2 linked regions of the Schizosaccharomyces pombe genome follow. The protein of the gene in region 1 interacts with the protein of each later gene in a biochemical or structural test. Each region holds a gene or a part of one and is shown on either strand. Other genes may lie near its edges.

Evidence for each region.
Region 2: the proteins of cis4 (region 1) and zrg17 form a complex in vitro, tested with the Schizosaccharomyces pombe proteins (one study listed by BioGRID).

Annotation. Positions count from the first base shown.
Region 1 is NC_003424.3:4,726,008-4,731,224, forward strand, and holds cis4 (Golgi zinc importer, CDF family, Cis4), read right to left. Parts: upstream 3,335-5,217; 5' UTR 3,052-3,334; coding exon 853-3,051; 3' UTR 775-852; downstream 1-774. Other genes in the region: DNA replication pre-initiation complex subunit Cdc45, read left to right, coding at 1-415, 457-753; trm401 (tRNA (cytosine-5-)-methyltransferase), read left to right, coding at 3,744-3,776, 3,827-3,873, 3,913-4,035, 4,081-5,217. UniProt on the Schizosaccharomyces pombe protein: Probable zinc transporter involved in Golgi membrane trafficking through the regulation of zinc homeostasis.
Region 2 is NC_003423.3:1,944,389-1,948,851, forward strand, and holds zrg17 (Golgi zinc importer, CDF family, Zrg17), read right to left. Parts: upstream 2,019-4,463; 5' UTR 1,935-2,018; coding exon 774-1,934; 3' UTR 549-773; downstream 1-548. Other genes in the region: serine/threonine protein kinase Ksp1, read left to right, coding at 1-263; SPOM_SPBC16E9.15 (uncharacterized protein), read left to right, coding at 2,590-2,652, 2,710-2,733, 2,783-2,825, 2,890-2,987. UniProt on the Schizosaccharomyces pombe protein: Probable transporter involved in the regulation of zinc homeostasis.

The DNA of each region.
Region 1 (5,217 bases):
TGGATTCAAATGTACACTTAGTGCAAGTGACGTTTCTTATGCTATCAGTGCATTATTAGAAATGGGTAATACAGGTGTTTTGCTTCAAAGCAAAACTGTCGCTCGAAGCCCGGATATGACGGAGGAAGAATATTTGGAGAAGTTTGAAAATGCTCAAAATCAAGAATGGTTGCACAATTTTTATGATGCATACGACGCCTTGGACGATGTCGATTCATTAGAAAGAGCATTGAAGTTAGCAATGCACTTACAAAGAGCCATTGTTCGTACTGGAATCACCTTACTTGAAAAAAGAGCCATTAAAACGTTGAGATCTTTTCGTTTTGGACTTATCAACGAAGGACCAGATCTGAAAATATTTATGCATCCCCTTGCGTTAACAAAGATGAGTCTTTGGATTGCTGAAGCTATTAATGTAAGTGTCTATTGATTTTAACGTTTGACTAACACTTGAAGGAGCAAGAACGAGAATTTGGAAAGCTTAGACATCTTCCTCTTGTTTTAGCAGCTTTTGTAGAGGAAAAAAATAGGTACTTAATAGTTGGAACTTCTACTTCCGCTTTTACTAGCAATGAAGATGACGATGATGACGACGGTCATGGACACAATCGTTTTGGAGTTGCATTTCAAGAGGTTGCAAACATGACATCTGCTACTTTGCAAATGGACTGTTTTGAAGCAAGTGTGATTGAGTGTCAAAAAAGTGACCTCGGGGTTTTTTTAGAAAGTCTGTCCTTCAAAACACTATTATAAAGATTGGGTAAATAATGGGAATTTTGCTAATAAAGAAAATATTAATTCATCTAATTAAAATTACACGTAAATAAGTATGGATATCAACTGATGTAAGAACTATTTTCCACACCAGCAATTGTTTGGCCGTTCAGATTGTATACAAATGTGTTTTAAATTTGGTACAGCGATTGAGAGCTTCCTAAATACTTCATTACGAACCACGTTTAAATCACCGTCTATGCTCACCTGAATATGGAGTATTCCATACACTTCACCTCTTTCGTTTGTCCAGAACTTAGGGTTGGATAAACTGATAACGGAGTTACTTAAACTGATGTTCGACAAACACTGCTTCAATAAATATTCCGATTCTGGATCAGTCACAGAGAGCAAATTCTTCGCCGAATCTTTAATTAATGGAAGTACAGAAACAAATATTAATGCAGCAATTATTAGAGATGCCAAAGGATCAAAACCGGTCCATGAAAACCACTGTATTAATATAGTAGAGACAATAACTCCAACAGAGCCCATAGTATCTGCGATAATATGCAGAAATATGCCATGCATATTATGATTTTCATGGTGATGATGACAGTGATGATCATTGTCTAAATTCTGGAGACTTATGCTTTCATGGTCGCATTTTTCATTGTATTTATGGATGTGATCATGATTGTGGTTATGCTCATGGTGATGTTCCTGACTATTCTCATGGGTATGTTCATGTTGGGATACGTGATCGTCATTCGTATAGCCCATTTTCTGGGCTTCAACATTATCTTTTTCTTCTTCAAACTCTTCAAAAATATTTATATCATTTGTAGTGTTAGGCAGACACATACTATGATTACTATGGGAATGATGGTGATGAGACCCATGATCATGATTATGCCCATGATTGAACGCTAGGATACCTACCAAATTCACAACAAGGCCCAAAAAACTAACCAACAACAATTGGTCGGTATTCATTTGGGGCGGATGAAATAACCTATATAATGCCTCGCCGACGATAGAAAATGAAATCAAAACTAAAAAAATACCATTAGTGAAACCCGAAAGAGCCTCAATTTTTGCAAATCCAAAGGGGTAAGCATAATTTAGAGGCATCTTGGCAAGCGTCGTAGCAACTAAACCGACAAGAATAGCAATACAGTCAAAAGCCATGTGAATTGCGTCTGAAATAAGCCCCAAAGAATTTGTCCAAAGACCATAAATAACTTGCACAAACATATAAGAAACATTTAAAAGGAAGAAATAAAATATGCTTCTTGACTCTTTATCGGCAAGCACTCCATTCACTATGAAATCATTGTAAAGTCGGTAAATACGGCTGTTGTCAGGAAGCTTCAAGTTTGCTGTTATAGAAGAACCAATTTTAAAGAAGCAAAATCCTACTTGATAGAGGCATGATATGATCTTGATAGAATTTTGAGAAGCTGTCTTGTTAATAATGGCAGAAATTAGGGCCATAATTAAAGAAATATCGAATTTTCCCAAGTAAAATTGAATTCTGGCAATTCCATCCCAATTGATGCAAAAAATTTGCATAAAACAAAGAATGGTAAAACGAGTGACTGATAGATTGATTGTTCCAAGCGGAAGGACATTAAATTGAATGAGACAAGCCACAACGATAGAAGAAAAAAGGAATGCCAATTCCTTCTTTTCAAACTTCTCTTTGTTCACAAGGTAAAAGACTCGAATGAAGACACCAAGAAGTATATAAAAAACGCTGGCATAAAAAACGGAATAAGAACATTGGAAATAACCCAACAGTATTAGGATATGATTAATGACAAAAAGACATATTGGAAATGCTATATAGTTCTTCAAATTAGCAGATCTGGCATTAAATGGTGTAGGATCGTTACGAATAAAAAATAATTTGAAAGCTAGCAATAACAAACAAGTCGTGTCTAGAGTTCCAAGTACAAAGGCACCTAAAGTTATGAATACCATCGATAAAGAAGCGATTATTACATTTAATAACTGAAAAGGTTGGAACGAAAATGAATAGATGCCCAAATATTGAGTAGTAAAGCTGACAAAAGCAAAGATGCCAAAAATAAGGTAAAATGGAATCGACATGGTATTGACTTCAAGACCAGAACCAGTAATGGAGAATGCACAAATTACAGAAAACCATCCTAGTGTTTCAGATGATAGCAAAGATTTACTCGAAATGAGCGATAACAAATCTTTTTTTTTAGCTGCAGCAATTGAATCAGAACTTGTCTTTTGGTCGTCTTTTAAAACAGGAAAAGAAGGGAACCTATTGGTTCTCTCGAACGCAGAAGAATTAACATTCATTTTTGTCGTCAGGAACACCCAAAAGCTGTGGTTGACTATTAAAAAATTGAATGATTAACAAAACTTAACTAAAGAATAAAGAAAACAAAATAAAGAGTAATCCTGTTTTGAAATTTAAATCCTGAGTTGGATGTGAAAGTGCATTAAGTTAATTTGACAAAGTTAATAAGTGGTCTTAACTATTTAAAATCAAACGTTGAAAGTTATTAAAAGCGTCTTATAGTCAAACTTCTGTTTAACTAAATTTGAGATATTCTAAATCGAACATGAAATGGTTGTAGTTGTCAAAAAGACCTAACACGCTAAATTAAGTCAACCAACACAAACACAGTCTTTATACATTCGAGATTTTAAGATAATATAAGATTGATGTTTAAAAGTAAGCACTCGTACAGTTTCATTTTTAGTAATTCATGTACAACCCCTCATAATCTCACTTAGGTGCGAAGCAAATCCACAATAACAATGTGCAATATTCGTAAATTCTTGAGTTATCCAAGATCTGTAGAAAATGTCGCAAAGCAGACAATATAACTTCTTGTTAATTCAATAAAATATTTTTGAGAGTTTTTTCCTTGAAAATAGGTCAAAGTAATTTTGTAATCTGCTAACAAAATACGCACTATCCAGCATTGAAAATTGCTTGTCTTGTACCAACTCGATACGTTGATAAGGAAAAGGAGGAGTTTAAGATGGGTCGTAAGCATTATTCTAGTAAAAAAAATGTTAGTACGAAATTAATTTATTTTTTATCTTACTAATGTGTATTAAATAGAGGTCTAAAAAAGGGGAGTTTGTAAACTGGGATTTAATTGAGAGAAAGTGAGTCATGACTTCAGATTATGTTTACTTACTAGATAGAAATGAAAACTTTGAAAAGTACTACAGGCTTCAGAAATTAGTGACGGAGGATGACTTTATCCTTTTAAAGCAAAAGCTTACTGAACAACTCCCGACAACATTTCGAATAACTGCATCGATTCCGTAAGTAAAAACATTATTATTTTTTGTTTCTAATCATTTTAAAAGTCATGCTACTCAAGTTCGTGATTATTTTATAGAACACTACTATCCACTCATTGAGAATGCAAGAACTGAGGATGCGAAAATCCCCTTGCCAGTTTCACTTCCATGGTATCCTGATGGAATGGCTTTTATGCTGGACATTTCTAAGGAAGTTATTCGAAAAAGCCCTCATCTCAAGGCACTTCAAGAATTTCTTGTACTTGAAACAGAAGCGGGTGACATAAACAGGCAAGAATCTGTAAGTATGGTTCCACCATTACTTCTTAATGTAGAGAGTCACCACAAAGTTTTGGACATGTGTGCGGCGCCTGGTTCTAAGACAGCTCAATTACTCGAGGCACTTCACAAACCAACTAAGAAAGAAGATATTACTACTTTGTTGCCTTCAGGAATTGTTATTGCAAATGATAGTGACAATAAAAGAGCGCATATGCTTGTACATCAGATTAAGCGATTAAATTCTCCAAATGTGTTAATTGTTAATCACGATGCTTCCTTTTTGCCGAATTTCCATCTATCTTCTCCCGACGGTAAAAAGTTCCTTAAGTTTGATCGTATCCTTGCTGATGTCCCATGCTCTGGAGATGGAACCTTTAGAAAAAACATTGCTTTATGGAATGAGTGGTCTTTGAAAACAGCTTTAGGGCTTCACGCGACACAAATTAAGATTTTAATGAGAGGTTTACAACTGTTGGAAAAAGGAGGAAGATTGGTGTATTCAACATGTTCATTAAATCCAATTGAAAATGAGGCAGTGGTTTCTGCTGTCTTGAATGCTACCCGAGGTTCTGTAAGGTTGGTGGATGTTAGTTCGGAGCTTCCTCAGTTAAAACGTAGTCAAGGTGTTGATAACTGGGTAGTTTGTGATTCCGATCTAAATATTTATCCTTCATTTGATACCTTGCCAAAGGAGCTTTACGAAAAAATGCCTCCTACTTTATGGCCACTACCAAAGAAAGAACTTGCTGAGCTGAATATTCAAAATTGCTTACGTATTTATCCACATTTCCAAAATACTGGAGGCTTTTTTGTTGCAGTTTTAGAAAAATATGAAAATCTTACTAGCTCTATGAAAACTGCCGTCGACGATAACAAGGTTTTTTTACGAGAACAAAAGTTGCCAAGTGAACAAGCATCAAA
Region 2 (4,463 bases), on another chromosome or scaffold:
TTGCAACAGCAGTACCCGTTAATACGAAACGTTCTCCCTATTCTTGCAGTGCACCAGCTATCGTATTTCCTAACAGTATTAAAGGAAACAAGGATCATCTTAAATTTGGCCGCAGTTGGTGTGATATGGATGAAGAAGATGAGGAAGACATTGTTAGCTTCGGCTCTAACGATGACTTTGGTGCTTCTGACGAACTTTCGTCTAAGCACATTGGACTTGCTGACGACTGGAATGTTCTATCCCAGTGGAATGATAACTCATAAACGATAACTTGTTTTTTGCGCTTTCTTTCCAAGCTTGGTAAGAGCTACGTTTAAAGTAGTAAATTGCATTACTTGTCCTTTGGAATCTGTATGTTAATTGAGGGTCATATATATGCTTACGTTTTTCTTTTTTTTTTTTACATATGAAAATACCTTCTATATACGCATTCTATTATTAGTTAGACTTGATCCTTTTAGTATGCAACGACCACACATGCCTTATTTATAATAATAAAATTATTCATTTCATATTAAAATCTTGAGTTTGTATTCTCCTTATAATTTGTAATAAGCGGTATAAATTAAAGGAAAGAATGAAAAAGGTGTTGGTAATTCTATAGTAAATATGGATGGCATTTATTAGATTATGAATCCAAACTGTTCGAGACAGCGAAAGTTCCGCAAAGGTGGATAATGTCATATGTTGATAAAATATGCATGCATTAAATGATAATAAAAATATAACGAGTGAGTTACAAACACGGTTGGTTGTAAGATAGGAAAAAACGATTAGGCTCTCTGGATATCTACTGATATTTCCCATTTGGGTTGAACACCAGCACCAAATATGCTTCCTACTGTTTTTTGTATAATCCTTATAATATCTTCACGAACTGCTGCCTGCTCTCGTTCACCTCCTGAAACGGTTAAGCCAATATTAGCAATACAAGTATTATAATGAGGTTGCCAAATGGCAGCATAATTAAGTTGGTCAATTCGTGTATCCTCTTTTATAAGGGAGACGCATTCAAAGACCTTTTCTTTATTAGAGTATGTCAACAAGAGCATTAAGGCAAGCGATTTGGCAATGGAGAACCCATTCACCAGGGCAGTAACAGCAATAGTTAAGGAAAGCAAATGGCTGAGAAATGAACCAACTTGATAACCAAGACTTAACAGCAACACGAGGATGAGTGAAGGTACTAATGTGAGTCCATGGAAAAAGCGAGAATTGAGTTCTCGTATGTGAGCACTAGGGTGATCCAACAATAATGCAAATCCCGATATTATAGCCGAAGCAAACAATGAAATGGTTAAATGAATGTGTACAGTCTCTTCTTCATGATCGCCAGCATGATGGAGATTACCCCAATCTTCTATAGCATGTTCGGCAGGCTCTTTTAGGAGGTTCATGCCGAGGAAGATTAAGAGGATTGAGAAGGAAAAATCAACAAGTAATTCCATTTGTTGCATTCCAAATGGGTAACGTAAACACGTGTGTCGCCAGACGAGGAACGAATCCAATGTTTCACGCCAAACGTTGATAATGATTAAAACACCTTCTACGATTAAAGAGCAAGATAAAGTGAGTAGGATAGTAGCATCCCCCGAGAGTAATACCCCTACGGCGACCAAAAAGAATAGGATTGAGCTTGTCAATTTTAGTTTTTGAGGAAAAGTAAGGATTGCGAATGTTTCTTTAAAAGTAGGAATGGGATAACTGGCAGGTATCTCTAACGGCTGTCGATTCTTGGGTGGTAAGAAATATTGATGCGAAAGCGAATGTTTGTGATGATGGCCTTTTCTGTGGGTAGGGCGAGTATCCACGCTTAACAAGTTGGGATTATTCGCACTCGGTTTTGGTAACTGATCACTAATAGTTACAGAGACATTATTATTTATAGGGTTTTGAATCTGAATAGCAGTCGGGATGTTATGATTTTGAGTCATTTTTCATTCATTTAGATATACTTTCAACAATTCTATAATGGCTTTTTTAAAAACTCACTCACCCATGCGTTTGGTGGAGTGGATGGGTAAGACCAGTTGGTACTAGGCCCAAATTGCAACAGTCTAAGATAAAGATATTGACTGTATCAGTAAATGATTATAAAAAGCCATAGTGTTGTACCATCTTTGAGACATCTACTTTTTAGTGACTAGGAATAAAAAACGCTTAGTAGAAAACGGTTAAAGATGAACAAACTTACCTTTCAGAGCCATCGTGGAACGCCATATATATAGGGTTCAAACATGCGGCTCAAAGTCATCCATACAAGGATATTATGAGTAATTTTTTTAATTCGTTTAATTAAAAATAAAATCATCATTAAGTTATAAAAAAAAGGCCACTCCAAGGGCCTGAATTCTCCTTCTACGACTTTTCCACATGTACTCGATAAGACAATAAATACACTTGGTAAAATAATAAAAATAATTATGTGTAGGTAAATAACATTACGCAGAGGTTCCTAGCTGAGTTCCATCAACTATTTTACCTACTTCTTCCATTTCTCTTCCAAATACCAACTATTGTATTCACAAGTGAGTTCTTATTACCTGAAGGAAGCATCTATACATATTAAAAAAAAGGTTTTCGGTTACAATGTCTGCGTCTGTTAGAGGGAATTCTAAAAATCCTCAATCCACATCTGCGATCACGACTTTGGTGCGTTTAAGATTAGTCTTTCTTTTTTTTTAATGATCTAACCTTGTTTACTTTTAGACTGATAAGTTATTGGAGGATATTGTAAGAAGAAGAATTGTGCTTAGTTAATCATTCTAACAGATTTTTATAGTCTGGCGACTTTGAGACCCTACAAAAGCAATTCTCTGAGAAATGTACGATTCTCTAATTTATAATGAAAGATTTTGCTTTACTAATCATAACTTTTTATGTTAACAGTGGAAACGATGTCAACTCGTTTAGATCAACTTGAAGAATCCATGCGTGAGGCCATGAACAAAAAGTCTTCTGTCTCACCGGTCACATCGACCGAGTGAACAAGATTCACCGCATAAGATTTTCAAAGCTTTCTATTTGAAGTGAGCATACAGCTTGTTTGACGTGGTGGATTGGGGATTGTGCTAGATTTGCTCTATTTTATTAAGAATAACCTCTGTTTGTCTTGCTCTGTCTATTTATTTTCAATTGTATTTCTAAGTCTCGATTGTTTGTCTTTTTCAATTGTTTACATGTTCGTACGAGAAAATTCAAATCATTTATTTTTTGTACATTTATTTTTACCTGTTAGTTCTATTGTACATTTTATATTGTTTCTTGTTTTGATTATCTAGCAAGGCCAAAGCAAGCATATACAACCCACCACAGACAATCAAACTACTTAAAACTAAAGCTACATTACATTTTCTATATCCATCGCATTCAATTTCTTTACTCGTATAAACAAAGAATCTCATTAATAAATTACGAACAATTCGCAGTACTTTCCATCATAAAGAACCAACCTTTAAAGGATGACAACTTTCCCCTCAAAAAGTTGTCGTCCCTTTTTTTCAAATAAGAACCATACAATAAAAACCTTTTTTCATAACGGATTCACGAGATAATGAAGGTTACGTCCAAAAATTTTGATATTGCAAGTATTCCCTTTACTTGTTGGACATACCCAAGGCATGACGAACATTGTTCATCAAGCCATGACCGCTGCTGGTGCTGCTTCTACGTTCCTTGCGGGAACTTTTGCTTTCAGATTTGCCCAAACCGGTGGTACCCTTGTCGCTATCCGAAGAAGCAGAAGAAACATCATCACGTACAGCAGTAGATTTGGCAGCCTTGGGCTTTTTAGTGGTAGTAGTAGCAGCAGCATTTGTGGAAGCTGAAGTAGGCAAGGTGCTGGGAGTAGATTCAACAGCCTTTGTCGTACTAGGAGTTTTAGTGGCACCGCCAACATAAGCAGGAGTGGTGGCAGAGCGGGCTGCTTTGCTTGAAACAGTCTCAGTGGTGGCAGGATAGTGATAGGCGGCGGACTTGCTCTTAGTACTAACATCAGTAGGTTCATTAGTGGTAACGGCGTGTGGATGAACGGGTTCGGTGGTATACAATTTGCTACCCTTAACACTGTTGTACTCGCTCTCCACCTTGCTTTGTTCAGCTTGAGCATCGCGTAGGGCTCTGCGTGCAACCTCTACGTCGTTGACATACTGGGATGGCTCGGCAGTGCGCAAGTCAGTCAATTTGCTTTCCTCGAGAGTCAAACGCTCCTGTGCCCGTTGAATGGCAGAGCTATAGTCGAGGTTGGCGGGTTGAGGAGGATGAGAGCGTTTAGCGTTAAGGTCTTGAGTGATGCTTTCGGCCTTGCTATACAAGTCCTTGGCCTCATTTTCCTTAGCTCTAGCAGCCTCGGCAATGGTTTCATTGCGCTTCTCAGCGGCCTTGACGGCATCATAGGCTTGAGTGGCACAACGAGTGATTTCCTCTTCACGTTGATGACAGCTGATGCGATACTTCTCTTCGGC